7 linked regions of the Canis lupus familiaris genome follow. The protein of the gene in region 7 interacts with the protein of the main gene of each other region in a biochemical or structural test. Links are inferred from orthologs where the notes say so. Each region holds a gene or a part of one and is shown on either strand. Other genes may lie near its edges.

Region 1 (4,138 bases), on a different chromosome or scaffold from region 7:
AGTTGGGAGCTGATGTCACTAGCGCCCAGAGCGCCACGGGCGGGGACACTTGCAACTCCCGGACCCAGCGCGCCGCCAGCGTTGGTACCTCAAGAGCAATGGACAGGGCTAGGGAAGGATCTGTGAGTGCTGGGGCCCGGACAGAGACTAGCCAGGAGGGGGCTTAGGCACGCTTCTGTCCCCACCCTCCCCACCTTCTCTCCTCTGTGGTGTTTGTGGCAGAAACTGGATGCAGAACGGGATGGGGGTTGGCAAGCAGGAAAGCTTAGCAAAGGTGGAATCCTGATGTAGACAGACATAGAGTGGCTGGGGGGGGGGGGCAGTTTGCTGTGGGAGCTATGTAGTCTGGGAGGGCTTCCTAGAGGAGGGGGCATTGGGACCTGGGTGGCCTATTTTTGAAGGGTTAGGAAGGGAAACTGTGGGAGAGGGGTAATGAAAGCCAGTCCTAGCCCAGTGGTGGCCCAGGAAATAAATTGTGAATGGAGAATGTGCAGGGAGGCTGGAAAAAGCTTTTGAAGCAGGAATATGGGATGTTCAGATCTTGGAGACTTGAAGGCTGGAGTCACCAGGAACAGAAGCAAGTGCACAGTGTGAGAGCTGGTGTGAAGGAGAAGACGGGTTTTGGGTGATCACATTCACTCCCCTCTTCCAGCTTGGTGCCATCACTTGGCTTCCTCTCAGATTAATCTTATACTGTAATGCAGCTTGTCTTCCACCCTCTTTCTGAAGCCTTCCCCATCATGTTAGCCAGGAGCAGAAAGGTCTGTCTCCTGGAGTGTGTTTATGCCATGACATGGCACTTATGGTACAGCCATTGATGTCTGCATCTCTCACTTCCCAGTTGGATTTTAAATGTGGACCCTTGAGCAGCACAGAGGTGCTCCAGAGTTTGTTGGGTGAATGCTATTTTCTGCCAAAGTGGCATCATTTAAAAAGCATTCTCACCATTCATGTATACTGTGTGCTGGGCATTATGCTAGGTGCTTTACATTCCTGACTTAATGAATCCTCACAACCCTGGGATGTGGGGGCTATTTCCAACTGCATTTTATAGATGATGAAACCAAGTCTTAGGAAGGTTGAGCTCATTTTAAATCAGTTCTTTCCAGCTTCTCAAGACTGACAGGACTAACTCAGACCCAGGTTTGTCTTATGTCAAACTGGTGCTCTTCCCCTCCACTGTCTGCCAAGACCTCCAGGGCTCTTTCTGAGTAAATGTTCCTCAGAATCCTGGTGCCTCTCTCAGTGCCTAAACCACCGCCCCATCCTTATGCACAGCCTATTTAGCCCCTCACTCCTGACCTGCTTTACCTGCCTTCCCATCCCTAATCCTTGCCACTGTCCTCAACCTCCCAAGATCAGAGAGCCAGTAGGTGGCGGATCCCCTAATTTGGAGTGTGTACAGGGTTCTGAGAAGCATGGGTGAATGCTATAGGTGGTATGCTCCTTCTCCATAGATCTCTTGCCAACTAGATGTCCCCGCCCCCCCCCCCCCCGCCCCCCCCCGCCATCACATGAGTCTTTGGAGTAACCTAGGATGGTCTTTACTATCTTGTTCATTTTCTTTAGTTGGTAGTTCTCAGCCCTGCCTACACCTCAGAAGCACTTGGGGAATTTTCAAAAAACCACCCACGTTCCACTCTTAGAGATTCTTACTCTGCAAGTCTGAAGTAGAGCCTGGTAATGTGTGTGTGTGTCTGTGTGTGTTTAACTGAAAGGATTTAATATTTTAAAAAGGTAACACAAGAGGTGCCTGAGTGGCTCAGTTGGTTAAGTGTCTGACTCTTGATTCTGCCTCAGGTCATGCTCTCAGGGTTGTAAGATTAAATTTACATTTTACAGATTAAGATTAAGCTCCACATCAGTCCTGTTGGGCATGAGTCTGCTTGAGATTCTCTCTCCCCTTCTTCCTCATAAAACAAAACAAAATCACAATTTCCAATTGTACAGTAGTAAAGAAGGATATATATTTTTTTAAAAAGTAACATAAATCTATTTTCCATTCCTGGCACCCAGGCCCATATATATATATCACTTGATTTTCTGACCGACCTAGTATCCTATATATATATATATATATATATATATATATATATATATATATATAAAGTAAGAAAAGAGAGTAGAACAGTATTACAGCATGCTACCATTTGTACACTATATATATATATTTTTTTTTTTTTTTTCTGAGAGAGAGTAAGTATGCATGCATGTTCAAGCATGAGCAGGGGGAGGGGCAAAGGGAGAAGGATAATCCTAAGCAGACTCCTTGGTGAGTGCAGAGCCTGATTCGGGGCTCGGTCTCAGAACCCTGAGATCATGACCTGAGCCAGAATCGAGATTTGGATGCTTAACTGAATGAAACACCCAGGCACCCCTCATTTCATATATTTTGAAGATTATTTCATATCTGCATATATATGTCTACCTCACTCTTTAATGTTTGCAATATTCCATATTCCATGGAAATGCTGGAACTTATTTAACCAATGCTTGAGTGAACTTTTAATGTTGGTGTTTTAAAACAAAGTTGCAATGAATATGGCTTTGCTCACATGTTTAACTGTCTTTGTGGGATAAACTCCTAGATATTGAATAGCTGGACCAGAGGATATGTGAATTTCTAGTTTTCATAGATTTTTCCAAATTGTGCTCAAAAGAGGCTGAAGGAATTTAAGCTCTTACCATCAACTGCACGAGGACAAAGCTTCTCTGGTTATTGGGCAGCTGAGGTTGAGTTGCCTGAAATAGAAGTTTCTTGTCAGTTTCTCCTGGGCCACAGCCCACTGGGGACTGGAGGGTGCTTCAGCCTGTCCCCAACTGACATTTCCTTCTTATCCTTTTCCCCACTCTGTCTAGGACACAGAGTTGCAGAGAAAGCTAGACCATGAGATCCGGATGAGGGAAGGGGCCTGCAAGCTGCTGGCGGCCTGCTCCCAGCGAGAACAGGCCCTAGAGGCCACCAAGAGCCTGCTGGTGTGCAATAGCCGCATCCTTAGCTACATGGGCGAGCTGCAGCGGCGGAAAGAGGCACAGGTGCTGGAGAAGACAGGCCGGCGGTGAGCAAGGGGGACACAAGGCCTTATGGCGGGTAGTGGTGCAGTGTGTATATGTTCTTTGTATGGGTCACCCTGAAGGTCAATTCCCCATGAAGCCCTGTCAAATGCCTGGGAGACCCATTGGCATTTTATTACCACAGTGTGCTGCCCACAGGTGCACTAGTGAGTAGCTAGGACTGGACTCAGGAGAGCCAGGGTATCTGGTGAAAGGCTGTGAGGCTGAGGGGTTATAATATAAAAGTGCTAATTTGCTACACTCAGCCTGTGATCTGATGAGGCTGCCTGCCTGGCTTCTGGAAAGCTCATCTTCTCAAAGTCAGTTCACCAGATGGCCAATTTACCACCAACTGACAATAGTGTACCTGAGGCTCACTTCACACATGAGCAGTGCTTGAGGGAGGAAATAATTAAAAATATTTAAGGGAAAAAAATATTTAAGGGAATGCCTACCCATTCACATAAATTAGATAATGTATTTTAAAAGGGGTCAGCTTCTGGATATGAAACACCAGCTACACTGACATTAGATGCTGCCAATCTGACAGCTGCAGGGAAATGGTTGAGGTGATGCTCTGGTGAAACTAAAATGTTGGAGAGAATGAATACCAGGCAAGTTGATCATTCTGAGAATTGGCCACTTTTGGTAAACTGGTCATTTCGAAAACTGGCTTCTGGCAAAACAAGCCTGCTTGGCCCCACAAAGCTGGATGGAAAGAAGGTCCTAGCTACTCACTGGTATGATCCCCTCCCACCTCAGCCATGAAGGCTGCCACCAGAAGTTGCCAGGAGCCCTCCAGAGCTCACTCATGAAGCCCCCAGGGGAAGGTAGATAAGCAACTCTGTGGCTTCCCTGTAAAGCAAATGGGCAGGCAGACAAGGGGCAGTTCCTAATGTGAATTTGCTGTCTCCCAAGAGGCAGCCATCATCAAGCGTTACCCTGTCCAAGTCCCCGCACAGCCTAGGCAGTGGGATTTGAGATACACCCCAAATCACTGACAACTAAATGCGTTGCCAAAAGTGTCACATCATTTAGCTTAAGGCCCTACTAAGTTGCTAATGGTTAAACTGGCTGTCACCTT
Region 2 (4,138 bases), on a different chromosome or scaffold from region 7:
GGGGTTGCAGAGTGGCTGGTGTGGGTGGTGGGGAGGAGAGGAAGAGGGAGAGAATCACAAGCAGACTCTGAGCTGAGTGCAGGGCCTGATGTGGAGCCTGATCTCATGACCTATGAGATTAGGACCTGGGCAGAAACCAAGAGCTGCACCCCAAACTGACTGAGCCCCCCAGGCAGCCTAGACTCTAGACTAAACTCTTAATGCTAGGTGCTCACAAGGTGTACTGTTGCTCAAGTAGAGATTCGTAATAGTCACCAAATCTGAATCTATTTGATTGTGTGAAATCCCTGCCCAATGTTTACAGGCTCTATGTGAACTGGAGATTTTTACGAGGCATTGAGGCGCAATTCCTGGCTCTGCAGAAAGGATTTAATGAAGTAATTCCACAGCATCTGCTGAAGACATTTGATGAGAAGGAGTTAGAGGTCAGTATGTTAATGTCATGACATCATTTAGTGTCACAGGGAAGGTTGGGAATTTTCTGTTAACTGCGTTTTAGAGGAAAGTCATATTGCTGGTGCTTTTGAAGTTTTATGGTACAGTGCTTAAGAATTCTTATTCACAGGAAAGGTCTTTCCTGCTTTGGAAAAGCTTTTTATTTATGCTTTGGATTTTCTACAAGTAAGCCATCTCTCTCATATTGTGAACACTCTTATTTTTCCATATTTTCTTTTCTTATTTTCAATAGATTTCATGTCTTAGGTGTACATTCTTCTATATGTACATGTTTTCTATTCCCTAATTAAGTGGTTATTTTTTTTTTCCTAATTCAGTGGTCATTGATATAATTAAATGCCATCACTTTGTCTCCACCATATTGAAATTTTTTGAATGAAAAGCTTAGGTTCAATTGGATTTACACTAAGCTTTGCAAGACAGCATTTGATAAACAAGATCATAGAGAAATAATTAAAACATTTAGGATAAAGTGTATCTAAACATCTTTCTTCTCTTTGGAAATATTCGTTACCAATAGCAGTAATAAACAGTTAACCATTTTTTTGTTTTCTTTTAAAGCTGGTTGTTAAAACACCTTTAGTCTGGTTTTATAATTAAGACTTTTAAACAAATACATCTGAACTACTTTGAAAAAATAATGAGGTTTTATAATTAAGACTTTTAAACAAATACATCTGAACTGGTTTTATAATTAAGACTTTTATACAAATACATCTGAACTACTTTGAAAAAATAATGAGGTTTTTATTCTACTGAAGGCCCCAAATTTAATTCGTGGCTAGGAGTAGCATAAATATTTGAAATCTACAAATAAATGTAAAAATTGATTAAAATTCATTAACCTCGGTGTCCTTTCTTTTTTTAAAAAAATATTTATTGGGGCACCTGGGTGGCCTCAGTTGGTTAAGCATCTGCTTTCTACTCAGGTCATAATCTCCACATTCTGGGATCAAGCCTGCATTAGGCTCCCTGCTCAACAGGGAATCTGCTTCTGGCTCCCCCACCCTGCCGCCGTTGTGTACTCTCTCTCAAATGAATAAATTTTTTTAAAAAATTAAATTTTTAAAAATTTATTTAAGTAGTTTCTACACCCAGCATGGGCCTTGAACTCACAACCCCAAGATTGAGAGTCACAGGACTTCTGACTGAGCCAGCCAGATTCCCCTTCAGTGTCCTTTCTAATTAAATCTATTAATAGACCTGTTAGGGGATCTAAATAGATTGGCTTGACTCCCTAACCCCATTCCTTTTGTGTTTGAACTATTCAGTAGTGAAATGGCCAGTGGAAGTGGCCAGGAATGGCAGTAATGGTTGAAATGAGTGAGAAATTTCACCTTACAATTACCACTCCTCTGGAGAAAAGAACTGAGGAGGTATCTTTTGTGTTATAAATACTTCCATAATCCTATTTGGATACCTACCTCCCTGTTGAGCCTAGCTGTGATTCAGTAATCTTTCCAGAACTCTATTGAAGCTTTGGTGAAGATTTTATGCAATATGATTAGGGTTTATTATGTAGTTTCTATTGGTAATGAAATTAATTTTTTATGAAAATACATAATTTATTTTAGTGTTATATGGGATTAATAGAACTAATTCCAAAATGTGGGATTCGCAGTTATGTTTGCAGTTATGTTATGCTTTAATACTACACACTGTTATAATTCACTGTTATAAATACTTAGATGAATTAGTCTTGGACCCTAAAGACATATATTAATAGTATCCAAGTGATTTTGATATGGCTCATCTATGCTGACCTTGCATCAGGATGTCCAGCAGAGCTCTCTCTCAGAGCAGTTCTGTATTTTGTATTTTGCTGTAACTTAAAGATTATCAAATGGATTGTTCTTGCTTATCCAGCACCCATTTCTTGAGTTCCTGAGCAGTATGGTTCTTGCACAGGGTATATAGTAAAGTAGGTGTTAACACAGTATTACAGCAGTGGAAACTGCTGGCCAAGGCGGATGGACTCAATTGCCCAAATCCTAAAGCTCGTAAGTGTTGAAACCCAGTATGATATACCAGTATATACATGATATGATATACCAGATATACCAGTATGATACAGGTATTAAGGAAGGCACTGTATTTACTCTGAGTCTATTTTCTGTCCATTAAACATAATTTAGAATTCTATGAAAATACGAGACTTTCATCCTGTCATGTTCTCCACACTGGTGGTTCTCAGACTCTGGATAGGGAACCTGCAGGAAGTAGATACCACCCATGGATCCTTTTAAATACAGATCCCTAATATCACCCCAGACCCACAGAATCAGAAGTCTGAACATAGGACCTGATGGTGTGTATGTTTTGAAAAGCTTTCTAGATGATTCTGATTTGTATCTTTGATTAAGAACCATCATATGAGAGCCACCACTACAAATCTAAAGTTCTGTTTGAGGGATTTGGGGCTTAACTTTGGATTTCCATTGGCTCATTATTTGTGCAATATTTTAACAGCTCATTATTTGTGGACTTGGAAAGATAGATGTTAACGACTGGAAGGTAAACACCCGATTAAAACACTGCACACCAGACAGCAATGTCGTCAAGTGGTTCTGGAAGGCTGTGGAGTTTTTTGATGAAGAGCGAAGAGCACGGTTACTTCAGTTTGTGACAGGATCATCTAGAGTGCCTCTGCAGGGCTTCAAAGCTTTACAAGGTAGAAAAGCCAGAGGAACGCGACATGGCATCAGAGCACTGGTGGAGGGCGTCAATGTTTGGTTTATATAGTTTACAAACCACAGGCTTCTAAGCAGATTCTCTTCATTCTCTTCCATATCTGACTCTCCTTATCTTGATACCTTCTTCTCCTTCCTCTCCTTTGTTCCCCTCCCAAGAACCTTTTCCCTGGGGCCTCTGTGCCTGTAGTGAGTGCTGTACGTTAGAGACCGTAGGCAGTGGTCTCTGCCTTTTCTTTTCTGGTCACCTGGCTTTTAACCTGTGTGGCGCATTCCAGTAGGGAAAGCCTGTCTGCTTCCACTTCCACACCTCAACCTGGCAGAGCCAAAACCCACTTGGGACGCCTCTTCCCTCTACTTTTGTATTCTTTTCTTGGAGGCAGCCTGCATTGTGGAAGCCATTTGTTTGGTCATTATTGCACAGTGTCAGACCATTTATTTCCAAACATACTCCATTTTTAAGACTTATTTTCTGCGGCATAGCTATTTAATTTGGGGGCGAGTTGGCAATATCTCTAAGGATTGTGGCGCTTCGCTGGGTGGCACTTGCTTCCTTTCCCTCTGAAGCTCTTCATTTGCAAGGCTGCTGCCACCAGTCACATCTGAAGACCTACACAGCCAGACAGGACAGCGTTGCCCGCAGCACACGTGTTGGAAGTCCACAGACAGGGAAGGCATCCTTGGAGTTGTGCTTAATTCCTTACTTGGAGAACTTGTTAGCAGACTACCCAGAAGCGTAAAGTGAAGCTATATTTCTACATACACTTTTATGGGGTGTCTTATGTTAACTGGAATTTATTCCATGGACTGCTAATCTTTTGCTCTCGGCCAGGTTTGAGGCATGAAATCTAAATTTGCATTTAGGTTGTCATCTTTTTGAATGTGTGTATATATATATTTGATCTTGAATTTATCCATTTACTTTTCTTCTCATACATTTGGCACATTGATTTTTTAATAGAAGAAGTTGGCAAAGGATTCCAATCCTGGGC
Region 3 (4,138 bases), on a different chromosome or scaffold from region 7:
GACATGTTTGCTTTTTAGAAATGTGAGTGTTAATGAGGATTTTTCCCCACCAAAAACAAAAACAAAACAAAACCCTTTTGCTGTGGTATATCCAAAGTTCTATTTAAGGTGGTTAATTCTATCTTAGAAACCATATGTGAGATCAGTGATAAAGCAAAAAGAAATGAAATCTTGCCCAAAGTCACAACAAGAGTCAGTGTTGGACTATAGTAATAAAATCTAAGAGTTCTGAGTCCTTCATTCTCCACCTGATGACATCAGATGTTTTTATTATTCAACATTTGGTTCGGGAGTTCCCTCTGTAGGCCCAGAGACAGTTTCTGGGAAGAAAATGAGAAGTAACATTTTCACCCTGTTACAGTGCATCACTACTGTACTAAGTAGGTGGCTTTCACGGTGTTGTGTATTGTGTATCCTGTACATTCATACTTTGATGTTGTTATCCGTTTTTACTAGGTGATTCCAAGCTGTTTCGACCCAGAAGACCCAGATCTAGCAGTGATGCACTGAGCGCCTCTTTTAACGGAGAAATGCTGGGGAACCGCTGTAATTCCTATGATAATCTGCCCCATGACAATGAGAGTGAGGAGGAAGTAGGGCTGCTCCATATTCCAGCTCTTATGTCTCCCCACACAGCTGAGGATGTTGACTTGAGCCCGCCAGACATTGGCGTCGCCAGCCTGGATTTTGATCCCATGTCATTTCAGTGCAGCCCCCCTAAGCCTGAATCAGAGTGTCTGGAGAGTGGGGCTTCCTTTTTTGACTCCTTAGGATACTCCCAGGAGAAACCGAGCACCAACAAAAAGGATACAGAAGCAGGTGGTAGCCAGTCTCAGACTCCAGGAAGCACTGCAAGTTCTGAAGCTGTCTCTCCTCTTCAGGAGAAACTGAGTCCATTCTTTACCTTAGACTTGAGTCCAACCGAAGAAAAATCATCCAAGCCATCCTCATTCACTGAAAAGGTCGTCTATGCTTTCTCTCCAAAGATTGGACGGAAGTTAAGCAAATCACCTTCTATGAATATATCTGAGCCAATTTCAGTTACTCTTCCCACTCGGGTATCGGAAGTCATGGGGACAGTGTCAAATACAGCAACTCCAAATGCATCTTCTCCAACCTGGAACAAAAGTGCTGAAGACAGTGATGTCATAAACAGATCCCCCACCCAGGTAGTAAAGATGAAAACAAGTGAGAAAGAGGCCCAAGAAGGATGTGAGTCTGAAGCCCAGCCCCTAGACCAGGGGGCTGCTGCAGAAGTAGAATCGCCAGGGAAAGAGGAGCAGGTCGTCTCGAGCAGTCAGAGTAAGGCTGTACCTTCTGGACAGACTCAGACAGGTACCATTTGTTTTCCTCCATTCTTTCCTTAAGCTAAGAGGGATCTTCAATTCTATGTGCCATCTGTGCCTTTTAAGAGAGAAATTTACTCCACAGCTAGCCTTTTATCAAAGAGAATGTTTTTCTGGGTGGTGCTGTGATGGCTCAAAGCCCTAAGTTAAAATCAAAGAAAAATCCCCCAAAGGGCCAGTGGTCCTGCTTCAGACCTTCATAAAGTCCCCTTTTGTCTTTCAACAGTCAGAATTCATGGATAATTTTTGCACAACTTCGTAGCTCTTGATTCTGTTTTCTAATAAAAGTACCTGTATTCTAGCCTTACGAGTAAACCAGCCAGCCTACTCCATCAAATGTAAAAACTATCCTTAATAATCTGCAGGCACTTGAAGCTTGTTATCTAAGCAGTCTTTTCTGAGCCAGATGAGGGACCTGCTTCCCCCCATCTCTGTAGCAATTCAAGAGGAGATTGCAATCTTTAAACACTTTGTTTTAGTTTTCCTTCTGAACCAGATGTGTTTTCTCCAGCATTTGCATGTGGGATAGAAGATCATGGATTGCCATTTTGAAATATGGAAGGCACCTGTTTTTTTAGTGATCACATGGGGCGCGTTTGGCTTTCCGTATAGGATAACACAAGCTACCTTTTCACTCTCATTTTTTTTCCCAATTTCCCACCAGGAGCAGTTTCCCATGACCCCCCTCAGGAGTCCGTTCCTGTCAGTTCAGTCTCTCTTATCCCACCACCACCGCCTCCGAAAAACGTTGCCCGCCTGTTGGCGCTGGCATTAGCTGAGTCTGCGCAGCAAGCCTCAACTCAGTCACTGAAGAGACCAGGGACTTCTCAGGCTGCTTATACAAACTATGGAGACCTAGCAGTAGCTGCACCGGAAGATCACCTGCCTAGCTCCTACTCTAGCGTTACTCTAGATAAAGCCTATTTCCAAACTGATAGGCCAGCAGAGGAGTTCCACCTCCAGAGCAGTGTATCGGGGAACTGTGACCAGCCCACGCCAGAGACAGCCACCATTGGGAGCCACACTCATGCCAGTGCGACTGAATCTGGGGAACAGCTGCACCAGGTTGACTTCCCAGGGAATCATCCACATCGGACCTATTTATCTGGGGACCCAGAAAAGGCCAGAATCACTTCAGTTCCCTTAACAGACTCCAAGTCTGATGATCACCTAAGTTTCCCTGAAGCCCAATCTGGGAAGACCAGTATGCCAACTGTCTCCTTTCTGGATCAGGACCAGTCTCAGCTTCATTTCTACAGCGGAGATCAGCCTCCTTCTTACCTTGGTGCATGCGTGGATAAGCCCCATCACCCGTCAGAACTTGCAGACAAATCTCCCACACCTTCTGGTTTGCCTCGGGACAAAATCTACCCTCCTTCTGGGTCCCCCGAAGAGAAGGCCAGCACGGCCACCGTGGCTTACATGACAACTGCTCCAGCAACAGCTGAAATCGGCACCAGGGAGGCCAACTGGGATGCGGTGGTTGAACAAGGCCCCACCACCGAGTTCGCTGCTGCCACCCTCCAGCGCGCTCCGAGAACTAACCGTCCCCTTCCTCCGCCTCCTTCCCAGAGGCCAGCGGAGCAGCTGCCGGGCCTGGGGCAGGTACAAGCAGCAGCCAGCGTAGGACTGAGTAATTCCCACAAGGTAAGGAGGGGAGGGGGTCAGGGAGATGAAATAGACTTTTTTCCGAAGGTATGTCACTTTTCAGCAGGGTGTGCTGTCACTTTTGAGTCACACAGGCCATTTCTGTTGAGTCCTGAGGCAGGTTTCCGTGAAACATTTCCTGTCTGAGGTTGGACCCTGCCTTTACCTTGATGCCAGTTTTTCTCTGAGAGAGGAGCAGTTACTCAGGGACTCTAGGTTAACTATACCTGCTGCTTCCTAAAGCATCTAGGTAGTTTATTCACAGCGATGCAGAGATCATGATCAAGTCAATCAGATTTTATTCACAGCGATGCAGAGATCATGATCAAGTCAATCAGATTGGGCTTCAGGTGTCAGGGCTGCAGGTCGCCCCACCCCCCTCCGTCACTGACTCATCGTGGCTTTAGGCAGGTCATTTAACCCACCCTGCGCCAGTGATTCACATCTGCGCAATGAATGTGCTTTGTTCTTGAGAATAAAGCCTTTTTCCTTGTAGACTTTTTTTTTTTAAAGACTTTATTTATTTATTCATGAGAGACAGAGAGAGAGAGAGAGAGAGAGAGAGGCAGAGACACAGGCAGAGGGAAAAGCAGGCTCCATGTAGGGAGCCCGATGTGGGGCTCGATCCCTGGTCTCCAGGATTACGCCCTGGTCCGAAGGCAGACGCAAAACCACTGAGCCACCCAGGGATCTCCTTGTAGACTTTTTAGAAATGTAAGAGATGACAGTGTCTTAGGTCTTTTTTGTCATTTTCTTAACATAAACCAGCAGGTTGTTCTGTAGTCAAGCATCTGCTTAGAGGAGAGAATATTGTATGTAGAATGCTGAGAATGTCTTTCTGACTTTCTCATGCTTTAGAAAAGTGCCCCACATGCTTTGTGGTCACCTCGAACTGAAGAGACTTCAGTATGTCGGCTTTAGTGGAGGATGATGCTATTTCTAGCAACTGCTTCTCAAGGATAGCATATTTGCAGCATTGCAGTGAGGATCATGTTTGACTTCAGTTGCTACAGACCAGGGTGGAGTAGAAAGTGGGGAGAGACCGTAGCCGATTAATTTGAATGGCGCATCAGACAAGTCACCTCATTACCCTTCCCTAGATTGGTGGGAGGTGCTTACACTGCTCACGACGTATAGCCGTGAGC
Region 4 (4,138 bases), on a different chromosome or scaffold from region 7:
TGGGATCGAGCCTCATGTCTGGCTCCCTGCTCAGCGGAGAGTCTGCTTCTTCCTCTCCCTCTGCCTCTCCACTCTGCTCATGCTCTCTCTCTCAAATAAATAAAAATAAAATCTTTTTAAAAAATAAAAACAATATGTGAGAGGCAGCAGTTGTGGTGAACAGCTCTAGAATTATGCTTGTAGGTCGTTGTGATTTGGGGGCAGTTTATAAACCTCTGTGGCATAGTAGAAAGAGAAGGCAAACTGGCTTGGAAACAAGGAAGCTTGGAGGTTTTTGTTTGCTATTTTTGTTTTGTTTTTAAATTTTTTTTAGGTTTAATTGTGGCAAAAAAACCCCACATAACATGAAATTTATCATCTTAACCATTCAAAAGAAATTTTTTTTTGAGAGAGAATGAAAGTGAAAGGGAGCTGGAGCAAGGGGCAGAGGGAGAGAGAGAATATCTCAAGCAGGCTCCAACACTGATCTCACAACCCTGAGATCATGACCTGAGTTAAAACCAAGAGTTGGACGTGTAATGGACTGAGCCACTCAGGCATCCCCCATCTTAACCATTTTAAAGTGTACATTTCAGTAGTGTCAACTATAGTCATATTGTTGTGCAATAGATTGCCAGAACTTTTTCATTTTGCAAATCTGAAACTATACCTATTTTAAAAATGTAACTCCCTGGGACTCCTGGGTGGCTCAGTGGTTGAGTGTCTGCCTTTGGCTCAGGTCGTGATCCAGGGGTCCTGAGATCAAGTCCCACATTGGGCTCCTTGCAGAGAGCCTGTTTCTCCCTTGGCCTGTGTCTCTACCTCTCTCTCTCTCTGTGTCTCATGAATAAATAAATAAAATCTTTTTTTTTTTTAAAGAAGGAAGCTAAAGAGAAAGGGACTTGGGTTCAACTGAAGTGCCAGCCTGCCCACCCAGAGGAGCACACTTTGTGAGAACCAAAGGAAAGGAGCCTGAGCTCCTGGAACCCAGTCCTTAAGAATTCATGGCAGGGTAAATGTAAAAAAACAAAAACCAAACAATGAAAATTCCCTACTTTAACTCTGGGTTTCCCTCCAGCCAGGCAGGCTGGGCACTTCATCATTATGGGCTTTAGATTTTCTTATTTTACTTCCACAGATATTTTCTGACCACCTACTGCTTCAGGCACTGCGTCGGGAAGCAAGTGGGGGACCAGGGTGGAGGGGGGGATGCCAGTAGTTGATAGAATGGAGGCAAGGCTGCTGAGATCACCTTTGACTCGGAGACCCCTTCGTGTATGTAAAGCAGCCAGGTAGACGATGACTCATGACGTTTCCAAAGCTGAGATGGTAGGAAACCCATGAGTTTTCATTTGTCTCCCGTGTTCCTCTTTGGATATATGCAGTTCTGTTCTCAATCTGTACCTACCAGGAGAAGCCAACCTCATCCACACTCTGAGCAGGCCAGTTAATTTTCTTTTTCTGTTACCAGGAATACGTGGCGTCACTGCTCTAGCTAATGACTGTAACTGTAAGCTTTCTTACAGCCTGCACAAGTATGACATCAAATCATATTTTTGGCATTCTCTCTGCCTCGCTAAACCAATTTGCTTCTCAATCGCTTTCTTGTTTCCCCTCCTCTCTCTGAACAGATATCATACGGTTCTTATTTTACTTCTTTCTCACAATTAGGATCTGTTAGCAAAGGCCCGGTTTGTGATATTACACGGACACAGACTTGCTGCAAATCACCATTACGCACTTGATTTGATCTGCCAGAGGTGCAATGAGCTACGTTACCTTTCTGATATTTTGGTTAATGAGATCAAAGCCAAAAGGATACAGCTCAGCAGGATCTTCAAAATGCATAAGCTGCTGCAGCAGGTAGTGTCATGAGACCTGGTACATTTCTGAATAGGAAGATAATTTTTTTTAAGGTTATAGGATAAAGGTCTGCCTGGGATAGCTTTGGAATTAAATTTGTAAGACGTTGAAGCATTGACTTTGATGATGTTTATTTAGTCCGGGTACCTTTGCAGTATCCATGGCAAGTCTAGTATTATAAGCATTCTGGCTTCTTTTCTGAATATTGAGATCACAGTTGTGATGGCTTCCTTTCTATTTTGGGCACATCCCTGAATCCTCTCCTCTGGTGATAGTTTGCAGTCAGAGCACCTTTCAAAGCCCTAGAGGCATTTTGCTAAAGCCAGAACTCCTTCCACATTTCATAGTTACCGCAATAAGAAATTAAACAGTGACTGGAAGATACTCCTCCATGGCTTGTAGATCTGGCCCCTTTCAGAATTAGGCAGCGAAGGGGAGATCTGGCCTTGGAAGTGGAATGTAAAATGAGGATATCATTTATAGACATTGTATCTGAACATGAACATTTTAATCAGTTCATCTCCTTCTTTGGCAAGGAAACTTTTATCCTTGTCCTTGGCAATCACTATGCATTTATATTACACTTTGTGTTTTGCGAGGCGTTTTCATATTTCACTTATTGATTTTTGGAAAATAGCATGCAGCTGAAGTGTTAGTGTTGCGAGTACGGTCAGACTCTTTACTGCAGAATGAATTCCTTGTTATGAAATAAATACAGTGCTTCCCAACCTTGGCTGTGCATCAGAAATACCTGTGGAGCTCTGCAGAAATCTAAATGCCTGGCTTAAGGCCCAGAGCTACTGAATCAGAATTTCTGGGGGCAGAACCCAGATATCTTTATTTTTAACAACTCTGAAAACAACTCTGATTCACAGAAGCCAGGGCTGGTAAACACTCCTAAAAGGACAAACATATTTCTATTTATTCATTCATGGTTTTGTGTATGTGTGTGTGTGATTTGCTCATCAGGCTCGTCAGTGCTGTGATGAAGGAGAATGCCTTCTAGCTAATCAGGAAATAGATAAGTTTCAGTCTAAAGAAGATGCTCAGAAAGCCCTCCGAGACATTGAAAATTTTCTTGAAATGGCTTTGCCATTTATAAATTATGATCCTGATACCCTACAGTATGAATTTGATGTAATTTTATCTCCTGAACTCAAGGTAAGAGGCTGTTTTTTTTTCAAATGAATATATTTTTAAAACTGTAATTCCAGTAGTGTTGGCAAGAGTATTACTACTTCACAGCTAACTTTATGTCAAATTGCAGTTACATGCTTCTCTTAAGGATGAGGGGTGATATTAGTACCCCTGTGAAGCATCCAAGAATCCAAAGGCTTGGAGCGCCTGGCTGCTTCGGTTGGTAGAGCATGTGCCTCTTGATGTCAAGGTTACTGGTTTAAGCCCCACATTGGGTGTAGATTACTTAAAAATGACTAAATGGATAGACTTTTAAAAAAAAGCATCCCAAGGCTTTTTTCCCCCCCAAGGCTTTATGCTTGCTACATAATGAAGAATAAGTTCTTTTTGAGCTGTGACTCCATTATTTTTCAACTCTTTTCAACATACTAGGAGATCTCACATACATTGTTTTGCGCATCCTTAGAGAAAGGGCTAAAGCTATTCTAGGAGAATACTGGGCCTGTGTCAAGAGCGTTCTACTCCAAATGTCTTGTCTTCCTGCTGCAGTTACAACCAACAGATGCTGTGTGGACACAGATCTGGCTTTCCTACTCAGTTTGAGAATGAAGGGATAAAGAAATGATTTCAGGCTTCTTGGGGGAGGGGTGCAAGCAGACATTGGTATTAACAAGGTAGAGAGATCTGTGGGTCAGTTCAGATCCACCGTGTTGGAGGTGTCATGAAGCACTCTCCCCACATTGTAGTTAAGAGCTTTTGTGATGCTATTTATTGCCAAAATGTGTAGTTGACTCTTAAGTTTGGAACAGCATCTAAAACCATGCTTAGCTGCAGATCTTAGGGGATGCCCCAGAAAATCAGAAACGTGGCCAGAGCAATAACTAAGTGATTTCTCTGGAAGCAACCAAGCTAATCTCTAACTGCCTCAAATCATCTAGGAGGGTCTAGGAGGAGCTTTTTACGACACGGAAAGATAGAGTGTCCTGCAGGCTAACATGTAACAAACATCTGTAATGGGGCTTAACTGGTGGCTTTCTTGTGCTAAACATGCCTTCTTTTCCAGCCGTTATGCCTTCCAGCCATGCAGGGTAAATAAAGCACTTTACACAGTGACCTATTTCATGACTACTTGAGAAATTTCTTCAAGCTGTTTAGGTTG
Region 5 (4,138 bases), on a different chromosome or scaffold from region 7:
TTCAGTCTTAAAAAGGAAGGAAATTCTTTTTTTTTTTAAATGCAACTCATTCATAATCCCTCACCTAGAAAAAAAAATCACTATTCATATTTTGGTGCAATTTTTCCCCAGGTCTTCTTCCCCCCTACACATGCACCTGCATACACGCACACATTTCTATTTATAGAATTGGATTATACCACACATGCTCTTTGGAAACCTTTGTTTTCACTTAAAATGCATAGAGCAATTATTTAAGTTTATCAACATCCTCCTTCCTTTTAAATGGCTACTGATCTCCACTGTAATGGTAGGCCATGATATTCAGCTTCTACGGTGGTGGTTTCCAGTTTTTTTTTTTCCATCATCAAAAGTGCTCCTGTCTTGTCCCACCATTTCCTGTGCCTCTGTCAGACTATTTGCTTGCAAGTAGAGTTGCTAAACAGCAGGTTATACACACACTAAGAGTTACTGGGGTGTACTGCCAAGTTGCCCAACCAAAGGGCATTACCAGCCTTTATTACTTTGAGAAGAGAGTGAGAGCATCTGTCTCTCCCCATCCTCATTTTCACAAGGTATCATTAAAAAAAAAAAAATTGTTAATGCCGTTAAAGATTGTGAGGCTGGAGGTTAGTGTCTTGAACCCAGCACAGCACTTCTCAGGCAGAAAAGGTTCAGGCAGGGGGTGTATTTAGAGCCCTCACAGATGGATTTGGGGGAAGCAAATCACATATAGGAGAATGCCTTTAACGTATGGGCAATGGCAGTGACTGGGAGGTTCTCTCTGTCAGTTTTAATGTGTAGACTCCAGAGACAGCTTCAGCCATCAGCACTGACACTTTAAAGAGGAGTTGACACTGGTAGTAGGGGAAACATGGTCGCACATGGAAAGGAAGCCCCACACTGCCTTCCCTTACTCCTCTTCCTGGTGATTCCAAGCAAAGGCCCAGCGTTTTGACTCTGTTATAAAAATGATTCTGGCTTTTTTAAATTATTATTATTGGAGTTCAATTTGCCAACATATAGCACAACACCCAGTGCTCATCCCATCAAGTGCCCCCTCAGTGCCCATCACCCAGTCACCCCCACCCCCCCACCCCCCGCCCACCCCCAACAGGAAGGAAATTCTGACATACACTAAAACATAGATGAACCTTGAAGACATTATTCTATATGAACTAAGCCAATCACAGGAAGGCAAATATTGTATGGTTCTATTTATATATATAAGTCCAAGTCAGAGACAGAGTAGAATGGTGTTTCTAGGGGTTGCAGGAAGGACAGAATGGGGAGTTATTGTTCAATGGGTATAGAGGTTTGCAAAACAAAGGGTTCTGGAGATAGTGGTGATGATCAAACGATATGAATGTACTTTATGCCACTGTACTGTACATTTAAAAATGGTTAATATGGTAAATTTTATGTGTATTTTACCACACATAAAAGAAGTAGGTTACTAAAAAAAGTAGTCTCAAAATTTTTTGGAATGTTTCTACTTAGAAGATCTACAAAAACAGGTCAGTCTGGGATCATTTAAAAAGAATTCTGTTTGAAAGCAGGAGGATAATATCTTCTAAAAATATCTTTCAAATCAAGAACTGACAAAGTATGCATATCCCTATATCCATATGCTTGCCATTTTAATTCAATGGCTGCCAAAATATCAATATACCTATTAAAAATTTTGTCAGAGATAGATGTTGGTTAAACATTTTTTGAGTTTTTTTGTTTTTAAAATAATATCAGGTGTAATGGAATTCTTTAAAGTGGAAAAAAGAATCAGCTTATGTCGAGCTGACTTACTGAACTATATGGCCAAATTACTAGCTAAATGGCAGCTGCCCCAAAATGTGGTATGGGGTGGTGCTGGTGGAGAGGCTTAAAAAGTAACTGAAAGTCTTCCTCTTCTAAATACTGAGAGTGAAATTAGAACTTTGGTGTATACATAGCACATTTTGGTATTTGAATTCTAGAGAATGCTATTCAGGGGAGAATGGCTAAAATTGACAACTGAGGAAACAACAGTTGTTGGCGAGGATGCGGATAAAGGGGAACCCTCTTACACTGTTGGTGGGAATGCAAACTGGTGCAGCCACTCTGGAAAACAGTATGGGGGTTTCTCAAGAAGTTAAAAATAGAGCTACCCTGAGATCCAGCAATTGCACTACGAGGTATTTATCCAAAGGATACAAAAATACAAAAATAGTGATTTGAAAGGGCACATGCACCCCAATGTTTATAGCAGCAATGTCCACAATAGCCAAAATATGGAAAGAGCCTAAATGTCCACCAACTGATGAATAGATACAGAAGAAGTGGTGTGTGTGATGTATGTGTGTGTGTGTGTGTATATATATATATATATATATATATATATATATATGAATATGACTCAGCCATCACAAAGAATGAAATCTTGCCATTTGCAACAACATGGATGGAACTAGAGTATATTATCCTAAGTGAAATAAGTCAGTCAGAGAAAGACAAGTACCATGTGATTTCACTCATATGTGGAATTTAAGAAACAAAAACAGATGAACACAGGGAAGGAAAAATAAAGTCAGATAAAGACAGGGAGGCAAAAAAAGAAAAAAAAAACAGGGACGCAAACAGTAAGAGGCTCTTATCCATAGGAAACAAACTGAGGGTTGCTGGAGGGGAGGGGGTGGGGGGACGGGCTAACTGGATGATGGGCTCTAAGGAGGGCACGTGATGTAATGAGCACTGGGTGTTATATACAAGTAGCGAATTACTAAATTCTACCCTTGAAACTAATACTACACTAAATGTTAACTAACTTGAATTTAAATGAAGTCTTGAAAGAGGACCAAAGCAGAACAGGGAGGGAGGGAGGGAAGAAAGGAAGGAAGGAAGGAAGGAAGGAAGGAAGGAAGGAAGGAAGGAAGGAAGGAAGGAAGGAAGGAAGGAAAGGAAGGAAAGGAAGGAAGGAAGGAAGGAAGGAAGAAAGAAAAAAGAAAGAAAAAGAAAATGCTATTCAAGGGAGAAGACAGATCTGTTTTATTACAAAATGAAGGACACTTTAAAAAGTGCATCACCTGTGGGTGTTTCTTTTCCCTCCCAAGGTGATGAGGCACCCAGATCATGTGTCATCCAGCGTGTATCTGTGGGCTCATCATGAGAAAATTGTGGTCATCGACCAGTCAGTGGCCTTTGTGGGTGGGATCGACCTGGCCTATGGAAGGTGGGATGATAACGAACACAGACTCACGGACGTGGGCAGTGTGAAGCGTGTCACCGGAGGACCGTCGTCTCTGGGTTCTTTCACAGTAAGTGGATTTCACCTCTATGGAACTGCATAGAAGGGACATGATTTGCATACCTATGCGTTAATAGCGGGACTGACTGGTTGGTCGAATGAGGGGTGGCGTATCCCTGTATGAGCAGACCTGTTTTCAAACACCACCTGGCAAGTCTGTAACATCGCATCTCTTATTCTCAGTTTCTTCTCTTGTAAGAGAAAAGAGATCCAATAGCGTGTTTGATAGCTCAGAGCAGCTCCTTTGTTTTCCATTTAAAGAAAAGGCTCATTTCTCGTGTGGAAAAAAGGTTCATAAACAAAAATATGTGTCGATTGGGCTTTACGTTAAACAAGCAGACTTATTCCAAGCACCTGCTGAGCCTTTTGAAATCTTCCTACTTAAAGACGTGCAAAAATAGGGCAGGAGTCATGGAGGGGCTTCTTTTGAATGCAGGAAGTTAATAACTTCTCGAAGTACCTTTCACATCAGGAGCTGCCAAGACACCCATACGCCCGTATCCACACGCAGTGCTGACTTGTTTCAACCCTAACGGTGGCCAACATATCAATACACTTATTACAATTTTGATGGGCTCATCTCTTTTTACTGCTGGATATGTGACCTTTCTGGAAAGAAAGAGTTGGTGAATAAGTAGCTGGGAAAATAATTAACAGAAAAAGCATTTATCAGAGGCAGAAGTTCGGTAGCTCAACGGTGACTATAACTCACGTAATTGTGTTTGGAATAAAAAGGTTAGTAGGGATGAAATTTCAAGAATTTGGCCTACTGAAGGAGGAGCTACAATGGAACGCCTGGTATCCCTGTGCTAGCCCTGACCCGGCTCCTAGGAATCCTCCACTGCCCTGTGGCTGACCTCACCCAGTATTGTGTGTCGG
Region 6 (4,759 bases), on a different chromosome or scaffold from region 7:
GTTAGAAAGGACTTATTATAGGATTTGGGCTTGTGTTAGATTCTCGAGGAGAGCTCAAGAAAGGGGAGATTTGCTTCAGGTTGGATGTTGTCAGGAAGCGGTGATAATTCTTTTTGGTTATCTTAATAAATCTCATCTAGAAGTTAGAAGGAATGGATTAGGATTAAAGCTATATTTAGGGGAACCTGGGCAGCTCAGATGGTTGAGCATCTACCTTCTGCTCAGGTCATGATCCCAGGGTCCTGGGATCAAGCCCCCTATTCAGCAGGGAGCCTGCTTCTCCCTTTCCCTCTCCTGCCCACCCTGCTTGTGCTATCTCTCTCTCTCTCTTTTTTTCTCTCTCTCTGTCAAATAACTAAAATCTTTTTTTAAAAAGCTGTACTTGGTAAAGAAGCAGCAGTCACTCAAACTGTAGGAGAAGGGGTTATGTTTGGTCATTTTTGTGTTTGGGCAATGTTGGTTTTGTGTTCAGAAATAATTATGAAATGGTCTTTCTCTCAATCTGTCAGAGTGCCATGGCCTAGCTGATAGTGCCAGGCCTGCTCCTAGCATTACCAAGGTTTCCACAGGGAGAGTGTAAACTAGCTCCCAGCTGTCCTGGGCTGCCTTTTTTTTTTTTTTTTTTTTTTAAATCAGTTGCACTTGAAAAATCAGAATTGGCAACCTCTTTTGGTAAAACATGAGCTCTCTGGGTCACCACAGGCTCCATTACTCCCCAATACCTTGTAATGCCCCACCCCACTCATGTACACTCCTAACTGTTCCCTGGCATTGAAATCTGCACCCCACACTAAGCAAAATAGGAACCAAGCCCAGAGAAAAGTGACTTGGCTAGGATCACCCAATGAACTTGTGGGAGAGTGGAAATTGTTTACATTTTCCCTCCAGCAAACCCCCATGCTAGACATTAAGATCCTTTGTTAAATCTCTGAAGTATCAGCCTCTCAACGGAACGTAGATCCAGTCAGATAAACACTTCTCAGTACATTTTCCTGTCAATAACATGTCCCTGACTTATTCTTTCTTTTTTTCGGGATTGGGCGTCTCGAGACCTTAGCTGGGATTCTAAAACCTTTGCTTGGCCGCTGCAGCCATCCCTGACATTCATTCTGCTCAATACCACAGGCGTGTTTCTGCCTGGAGTCTGTGTGTGTGCACTTCCCTCTGCCTGGAGTTCTCCCTCACACCTTAGTGTGGCCTCGTCTTCTCAGCTTCGGCTCTGCATCACTTCCTCAGGCACGCACTTCCTGACGACCTTACCTACTACACACACCCTGCATGTCCTAGCACTACTGTCACCTCTCTAAGGAGGCCACCTCACTTTGGCCTCTTGTACAAGTCTCCCTTGGTGCTTTGTTCGAAGCTCTCCGCAGTCTGTCAAAAGCGCGGGGATGGGAGGCGGAAACCTTGCCTTTCACGCCCGCGAAGCGCTCTGAGGGCAGAGACTCAACCACCGCGAGGCGACCTCGCTTTCCACAGCAGGCATGTGGCGGAGCCCGTCCTCCAACCACTGTCCAAGACCCGCGCGAGTACCTCACGTCGCGCGGGATCCCACCCCGCCGGAGGCTGCGCGCTACCTCTCCACGGGGGCCCTAGGTCACCACGCATGCTCCGCACCGCCGGCGCGCGAGGTCAGGGGCGGGACCTTGGCGCGCCTGCGCACCTGCTCAGCCTCGGCTTCCGGGCGGCGTCGGCGTGATGGGGCTGAGGGCTGCGGCGGAGTAGCCGCGGCGTGTGGTCGTGTGGACCTCGCTGTCTGTTCCGACGGCTCGGGTCTCGGGGTCTTTGGGAGCCGCCGGAGGGTGCGGAGAGAGCCTAGGATCGCGCCGTCCGCCGCCAGTCCCCGGCATGTCGGCCGAGGCTTCGGGCCCGGCGGCGGCCGAGGCCCCGTCCCTGGAAGCCCCCAAGCCCTCGGGTCTCGAGCCTGGCTCCGCCGCCTACGGTCTCAAGCCGCTGACCCCGAACAGCAAGTACGTGAAGCTGAATGTGGGCGGCTCGCTGCACTACACCACGCTGCGCACCCTCACGGGACAGGACACCATGCTCAAAGCCATGTTCAGCGGCCGCGCGGAGGTGCTCACTGACGCGGGAGGTACGCCGCGCCGCACTTACCTGTGTGGTCCTCCATCCTCCAGATCCCCGTCTGCCTTCCCTCGCCCAGTCTCCTCATATCCCCTCTCTCGCGTCTCTACCGTGCAGTCAACTCATTTCACCTCCCTCCAGCCCCCCCATCCAGTCTCATCGCCCCTTCCTCATTCATAATTCCCCTCCTATCTCAGTCCTTTATCCCTAGCAATAACCAACATTTAAGGGAACATCACATGCCCGCTTCCAACACGCGCTGTGGTAAGTAATTCAACACGTCACTTCCGAATTTTTATTACCAGTCCCCTCCAATTCTCCCACCCTTTACTCCTCAGCTCAGACGACTTGGGAACCAGTCCTGCTACCAGCAGCACCCTTCCAGGCAACCTTCATGTTCCTTCCAACTGCCCAGCCTTATGTTTGCCTCTCTACCTCAGCACTGCTAACAACCGGCCTGGAGGAGTTGTCTGTCTCTGTATTCCTCCAACACAGGTCCCCGTACGCTCTAGGGATCCATTTGTAAATGCAGACTGTAGAAAAAGGCTGTTTTGGGGGTTTGCCATGGACACCAGAGAGAAGGGTGGACAGTTCTCTTTGGCAGGTGAACCTTACCTTCTTGGAGTGTTGCCTTCAGGGTTGGAACCCACATGCCCAGGTGGAACTGTAGTTTTTGTGAGGGTGGGGGAAGGTATTGAGAGGGGTATAACAATGATAGTAAAGAGCAGGAAAATTAAAATTTGGGCGATGGAGTTCAATCTTAAAATATCTGAGGTTGAAGGATTTGATTATTCAACAAGTATTTGTAAAGTGCCAGTTAGTGCCAGAGATACTTTGGTAAATGAATCAGACAAGATTAGTCTTATAGACTTCACTTTTTTGTGGGGGCAGGAGGAAAATAATAAGCAAATACACATATGAAAAATACGTGTGAAGTTCTATGAATAATATAAAGGTTGAAATGGTAGTGAACTGGGGGGTGGGGTAGATATTTTAATTAAGGCAGTCAGAACTAATGCCAAAGGTTAGAGTTTGTTGGTAAGGTAATCATTTTCATTGCAATCATTTTCTCATGGTGAGAACTTTTTCAATTCAGAACAGACCTGGAAAGGAATTCATTCTCTGTGTCTACGAATGTTAAAAAGGGGTCTATGGGAAAACTCACTGGAGATGTTTTAAAGGGATTTTCTTGGATGTGGCAAAGGTTTGAGACAGATCAGTATTCAGACCTGTAGCTTTGGAATCTGTTTTTCATAAAAATTTAGTAGCTCCAGAGCCCCCTGCAAAGCCATCCTTCCTCTTGCCTGTCTCCACTCCACCAGGTTGGGTGCTGATTGACCGGAGCGGCCGCCACTTTGGTACAATCCTCAACTACCTGCGGGATGGGTCCGTGCCACTGCCTGATAATACCAGAGAACTGGGGGAGCTACTAGGCGAAGCACGCTACTACCTGGTACAGGGTCTGATTGAGGACTGCCAGCTAGCATTGCAGGTGAGGGGCCCTGGGTCCCACCTTATACCCATGTCTCTGGGAGAGCTGTCTAAGCACTTAGATACTAGCACATTAAAAAATAGAGGGGAGGTATCTGGGGTATTGTTTGGAGAGGCTCCCTATGGCCTGGCTGTGACTAGCCATAACTACAGAAAATTTGGTTGGAGGTGCTTTCCTGTGTATTCCTGCTACCTCAGGAAGGACCTCCCTCACCACCTCGTGCCAGGACTATTACAGTAGTTTTTTTGTTTAAGATTTTATTTATTTTTTCATGAGAGACACAAAGAGAGGCAGAGACATAGGCAGAGAGAGAAGCAGGCCCCATGCAGGGAGCCTGATGTGGGACTCGATCCTCTGATTTCCAGGATCATGCCCTGGGCCAAAGGCAGACGCTCAACCGCTGAGCTACCCAGGGGTCCCTGTTACAGTAGTTAAATGACTGTTCTCTCCTTGCTGTTCCTACCTGGCTAATCCGGCAATCACACTACCACCTGAGTGATGATCCTTAAACAGTCTAGTCTCCCCTTTGCTCCTAAATCTTAAATAACTCCCTGTGCCACTAGGAAAAAAAAATCCAATTTTAAATTAGAATATAATGATCTCTGTGATTTGGTCCTGTCCTGGGAGGCAGTATTCCACCCCCAGCCAGGTTTTTGTTGTTGTTGTTTTTAACTTCTTTTTTAGCAATGAAATCCTAGAATCAGAGCTGCTCCCCAAAAGACAGATTGGGGGTTCCACGCCCCAACTTCTGGGCTTCTCTTCTATGGATCTCAGGGTTCTGAAGAGAGCTTAGAAAGCACAGCCAGGACCTGTGGGTTAAGTGTCACCTCTACCACAGCTGACTGAGTGACCTTGATTAAGTCAGTTCCTACCTCTGGCATTCTGTTCTCATGTTCCAAAAGATAGGAAAACAAGAAAAATATGTACACTGTAGTGAGTTTTACATAAAGCCTTTTATTTTGTTCTATTTTTACATTGTTAAAAATGTACCTTCTTTTATGATACAATATTACTAGGAGATTATAAGAGTTTCTTTTTTAGTGCCCTTTATATATTAAAAAGTGGCGACTATAAACAGTTTTCTGTTATCTTGGTGAATACATATCGGTTCTTGAAATTCAAAAGTATAGGGCAGCCTGGGTGGCTCAGCGGTTTAGCGCCGCCTTCAGCCCAGGGCATGATCCT
Region 7 (4,138 bases):
CATAGATCTTTCATAGATCTATTATCTTCATAGTTCTTTCTCAACAGTGTTTTGGAGTTTTCAGGGTATATTTTATACTTTTGGTAAATTTATCCTTATTCTTTTTGAAGCCATTGAAAATGAAATTGTCTTTTTTTTTTTTTTAAGATTTCATTTATTCATGAGAGACTTGCAGAGACAGCGATAAGCAGGCTCCCTGTGGGGAGCCTGACACATGACTCGATCCCCACCCCAGATCACAACCTGAGCCAAAGGCAGATGCTCAACCACTGAGCCACCCAAGCACCCCTGAAATTTTATCTTCTTAATTTCATTTTCTCTTTGTTCATTACTAGGTTATAGAAATACAGTTGTTTTTTGTATGTTCGTCTTGTATCCTACGGCCTTACTGAATTTGTGGTTTTTTTTAATAGATCCCTCCTTTTTTTTTTTTTTTTTTTTTTTTAGAGATTTTATTTATTTATTCATAAGAGACACAGAAAGAGAGAGAGTGAGTCAGAGACACAGGCAGAGGGAGAAGCAGGCTCCATGCAGAGAGCCCGATGTGGGACTTGATCCCGGGACTCCAGGATCATGCCCTGGGCTAAAGGCAGGCACCAAACCGCTGAGCCACCCAGGGATCCCCTGAATTTGTTTTAATAATGTTTAGTGGATTCCTTAGGATTTTCCATATATAAGGTCATATCATCTTCAAGTTAAGATAGTTTTACTTCTTCCTTTCCAATCTGGATGTCTTGTTTCATCACCTTGTTTAATTACTCTGGCTAGAGTCTCCAGTATCATGTTAGTTAGAAGTGGCAAGAGTGGCCACTCTTGTCTTGTTCCTGATCTTGAGGAAAAGCTTTGTCTTTTTACCATTAAGTATAAACATCTGTTTTGGGTGCTTGGATGGCACAGTTAAGCATTCTACTATAGGGTTGAGCTCAGGTGATGATCTCAGGATCCTGGGATCAAGCCCCACGTCAGGCTCCACACTCAGCGCGGAGTGCTTACTTATAGTATCGCCACCTGCCCCTCACTCCTATCCTATCCTATCCTATCCTATCCTATCCTATCCTATCCTATCATCTCTCAAATCTTAAAAAGAAATCAAGTTTAAATAGTGTAACCTGTTAGTTGTGGAGTTTTGTTACGACCTTTTGATGTCAAGTGGAAAGCCGTACTAGCATTTTGTATTTGGGTGTGCTATACAGACTTGTGCCCCATGGTTAGAAAAGTGTGTGTCATAGCTTGAAGCTATTAATAGCTTATGCATTCTAGATAACACCTTTGTCTCATGTTTCAGCATGGCTGCCATCCGGAAGAAACTGGTGATTGTTGGTGATGGAGCCTGTGGTAAGACTTGTTTGCTCATCGTCTTTAGCAAGGACCAGTTCCCAGAGGTGTATGTACCCACAGTGTTTGAGAACTATGTGGCAGATATTGAAGTTGATGGAAAGCAGGTGAGTACACTTTTCGTAACAACTGGTTTCATTTTGTATCTTAGGCTGTTCATAGAGCCTGTAGAGAATTAGGTCTTTTTGTTTCTTCAGTATACAGTTTAATGATTACAGACGTGTTTGAATGAGAAATCCATTCTATTCTTGCCATCTTAACTTTATTAATTTTTAACTGCTATCATCTAGACTTTGCTAACGTTCCTACCTATTTTATATAGGGAAGCCCTAGTATATGTGCTCTTAACAGTTTTATATTTGAAATTTAGTTTGTTGCTAGATGGATAATACTAAAATGAACCTTTTTGTATGGGTGGGATTTTTTTTCCAGTTTTTTTCCTAATATTTCATTCAGCACTAAAATACGGGATTACTAGGTCAACAACAGGTCATTTTATGGGTCTCAAAGGGCTATACTGATCTACTCCACCAGCAATGTGACAGTTAAATAACATCCTCATATTTAATTTGTGTAAATGGTTTTTGACTTTAACATAAATAGGCTGCCACCTTTGCTTCAATTACCTGTCACTGGCAATGAGGATGGTGTTTCTTCATGTCTGTCCTGAAAATCCACTGGCAAGACTAGAGGAAAACTCTTCTGGAATTAGAGTTTATAGGTTTTTTATGTTCTGCTTTTTGTTGTGAAAATGTCTTATCCAGCTTCCTGTACATATTTTGAAGATGCATGAAATTCCCACTGCAGGTGGGTCAGCTGAAAAAGAAAACTAGAACAATGGGCTCTTCTCCAATAACTCAGTCCTCTCGGGCATTTGTTCATGTGTCTCATGCTGCTAGCACCTAATATATTGGCCCCCATAATTCCATGTCCTTTCATCCTTCTCATTTTTCTGCTTTACCTTACTATCCCTTTCTGTTCTAGTGCCTCAGTTTGTGGCACTGTGTTTGGAAAGCACATTAAGCCAGCTATTCAGAATTCTAGGGTCCCTGAAATAAAAATGCTTGGTAGTAAGTAAGTAACCTCCAAGTTGAGAGAGGGTACTGCCTCAGAATGTTCATTTAAGAGTATACAGTAACAGAGCCTAGGAAACCGTCAAAGATTCTAGGTGATTGTGTCCCAGGAACATACCTACCAAAAATGGAAAAGCCCATTCTAACAAGAGATAGGCCCAATACCCTGAACCATTCATTTATCAGCATATAGGGTTGGATGTGTCTCACTGAATACACATGAGGCATGAAGGGGCCAGGGCAGCGTGATTTGGCAGAGAGTAAATGTTCCAGTCTGTTGTGAGGATTGGGTATCAAAGTATTAGAAATACACATATCAAACTGATGGGGGGGTGTGTGTGTGTGTGTATGATAGAAGTGCAGGTGGGCCTCGTGGAGGTTGTGAGTGATGCATCCTAGGGCAGAGTTTGAGGGTGGAAGAGATAATTAGCCATCAACTTTAAGGAAAAGATGTTACTTAGAAACTTTGAAATATGGGCTGTGAAAGTTCTAGGAGGAAAAAAAAAAAAAAAGGGTATTCCAAATACTAGGAGAGCTTTGAGCACCATGGGGTCGCTAAGCAGAAGATGTTAAAATCCCATTCTGGTTGTGAGAAATCACAGGGCTGGCTGCAGTGCTGGAGAACATGGAGGGGGACCTCTGTCCAGAGCCCAGGCATTAGCTTGCCCTCCTACCACAGGAAGGTGAGCAGGTTTCCAGGTGTGAAGGGAGTACTTTACTATCTTAGTGATGCTTTCATTCACATTTTTTTGAGCAGAAAAGGCAGGTCCAGAGACCTTTCTTGTCCACTGAGACCTTGCCTAACACCTAGCCTGGTGTCTTTTCTTACCCACCAATTCAAATACCATTTTTTAAAATTTTTTATTTATTTATGATAGTCACACACAGAGAGAGGCAGAGACACAGGCAGAGGGAGAAGCAGGCTCCATGCACCGGGAGCCCGACGTGGGATTCAATCCCGGGTCTCCAGGATTGCGCCCTGGGCCAAAGGCAGGCGCCAAACCGCTGCGCCACCCAGGGATCCCACCATTTTTAAAAAAATATTTTATTTATTTATTAGCAGAAGAACAGAGGGAAACAGAGAAGGAGGAGCAGACTCCCCATTGAGCAGGGAGCCCAATGTGGGGCTCTATCCCAGGACCTGGGACCATGACCTGAGCCAAAGGCAGATGCTTAGCTGACTGAGTTACCCAGGTTCCCCTCAAATAATCTTGTATCCATGTTTGCACATTGGGGCAAAATGATGAGAAAAACATAAGGAAAGGGTTATATTAGAATATATAGGGGAAAGTTACTCACGTCTAGTGTTTCTCTGTCATGTTTTGTATACTTGGTAGAATGTTGTTTATAGTTGATTTTCCTTGTTCATCTGCTTTTCTGTGTATAATGTTTATAATTAAATACTGTGCTTTTTACAAGATAAGTAATTTTTGACTCGATATTTTGAATTATGTACTTTATATACTGCTAGTATTTTGAGAAATTTCAACCTAAAATAATTTAAACACACCCTCTGCCTCAGGTTTGTTTTACTATTTTGGACTATTTGCCATATTCTGAAAGTGGGTAGGATTAACCTTGCATTCTTACGTTTATTTTTCCTATCACAGGTAGAGTTGGCTTTGTGGGATACAGCTGGGCAGGAAGATTATGATCGCTTGAGGCCTCTCTCCTATCCAGACACTGATGTTATACTGATGTGTTTCTCTATTGACAGCCCTGATAGCTTA

The links.
Region 1: the proteins of RHOA (region 7) and RTKN form a complex in vitro, tested with the Homo sapiens proteins (8 studies listed by BioGRID). The link is inferred for Canis lupus familiaris from reciprocal best matches to the Homo sapiens genes RHOA and RTKN.
Region 2: of the proteins of RHOA (region 7) and SMURF2, one has a biochemical effect on the other in vitro, tested with the Homo sapiens proteins (3 studies listed by BioGRID, with this or other methods). The link is inferred for Canis lupus familiaris from reciprocal best matches to the Homo sapiens genes RHOA and SMURF2.
Region 3: of the proteins of RHOA (region 7) and ARHGAP32, one has a biochemical effect on the other in vitro, tested with the Homo sapiens proteins (3 studies listed by BioGRID). The link is inferred for Canis lupus familiaris from reciprocal best matches to the Homo sapiens genes RHOA and ARHGAP32.
Region 4: the proteins of RHOA (region 7) and MCF2 form a complex in vitro, tested with the Homo sapiens proteins (2 studies listed by BioGRID). The link is inferred for Canis lupus familiaris from reciprocal best matches to the Homo sapiens genes RHOA and MCF2.
Region 5: the proteins of RHOA (region 7) and PLD1 form a complex in vitro, tested with the Homo sapiens proteins (2 studies listed by BioGRID, with this or other methods). The link is inferred for Canis lupus familiaris from reciprocal best matches to the Homo sapiens genes RHOA and PLD1.
Region 6: of the proteins of RHOA (region 7) and KCTD13, one has a biochemical effect on the other in vitro, tested with the Homo sapiens proteins (2 studies listed by BioGRID, with this or other methods). The link is inferred for Canis lupus familiaris from reciprocal best matches to the Homo sapiens genes RHOA and KCTD13.

The regions. Positions count from the first base shown.
Region 1 is NC_049238.1:49,191,727-49,195,864, forward strand, and holds part of RTKN (rhotekin), read left to right. Parts: exon of another isoform or gene 1-98; coding exon of another isoform or gene 99-122; intron 123-2,859; coding exon 2,860-3,059; intron 3,060-4,138. UniProt on the Homo sapiens protein: Mediates Rho signaling to activate NF-kappa-B and may confer increased resistance to apoptosis to cells in gastric tumorigenesis. May play a novel role in the organization of septin structures.
Region 2 is NC_049230.1:14,568,796-14,572,933, forward strand, and holds part of SMURF2 (E3 ubiquitin-protein ligase SMURF2), read left to right. Parts: intron 1-304; coding exon 305-425; intron 426-2,925; coding exon 2,926-3,127; intron 3,128-4,138. UniProt on the Homo sapiens protein: E3 ubiquitin-protein ligase which accepts ubiquitin from an E2 ubiquitin-conjugating enzyme in the form of a thioester and then directly transfers the ubiquitin to targeted substrates.
Region 3 is NC_049226.1:5,711,149-5,715,286, forward strand, and holds part of ARHGAP32 (rho GTPase-activating protein 32), read left to right. Parts: intron 1-456; coding exon 457-1,335; intron 1,336-2,010; coding exon 2,011-2,993; intron 2,994-4,138. UniProt on the Homo sapiens protein: GTPase-activating protein (GAP) promoting GTP hydrolysis on RHOA, CDC42 and RAC1 small GTPases. May be involved in the differentiation of neuronal cells during the formation of neurite extensions.
Region 4 is NC_049260.1:110,573,354-110,577,491, reverse strand, and holds part of MCF2 (proto-oncogene DBL), read left to right. Parts: intron 1-1,650; coding exon 1,651-1,842; intron 1,843-2,811; coding exon 2,812-3,003; intron 3,004-4,138. UniProt on the Homo sapiens protein: Guanine nucleotide exchange factor (GEF) that modulates the Rho family of GTPases. Promotes the conversion of some member of the Rho family GTPase from the GDP-bound to the GTP-bound form. Isoform 1 exhibits no activity toward RHOA, RAC1 or CDC42.
Region 5 is NC_049255.1:36,238,058-36,242,195, reverse strand, and holds part of PLD1 (phospholipase D1), read left to right. Parts: intron 1-3,065; coding exon 3,066-3,269; intron 3,270-4,138. UniProt on the Homo sapiens protein: Function as phospholipase selective for phosphatidylcholine. Implicated as a critical step in numerous cellular pathways, including signal transduction, membrane trafficking, and the regulation of mitosis.
Region 6 is NC_049227.1:18,120,478-18,125,236, reverse strand, and holds the start of KCTD13 (BTB/POZ domain-containing adapter for CUL3-mediated RhoA degradation protein 1), read left to right. Parts: upstream 1-1,662; 5' UTR 1,663-1,848; coding exon 1,849-2,092; intron 2,093-3,404; coding exon 3,405-3,574; intron 3,575-4,759. UniProt on the Homo sapiens protein: Substrate-specific adapter of a BCR (BTB-CUL3-RBX1) E3 ubiquitin-protein ligase complex required for synaptic transmission.
Region 7 is NC_049241.1:40,283,447-40,287,584, forward strand, and holds part of RHOA (transforming protein RhoA), read left to right. Parts: intron 1-1,285; 5' UTR 1,286-1,286; coding exon 1,287-1,442; intron 1,443-4,018; coding exon 4,019-4,138. UniProt on the Homo sapiens protein: Small GTPase which cycles between an active GTP-bound and an inactive GDP-bound state.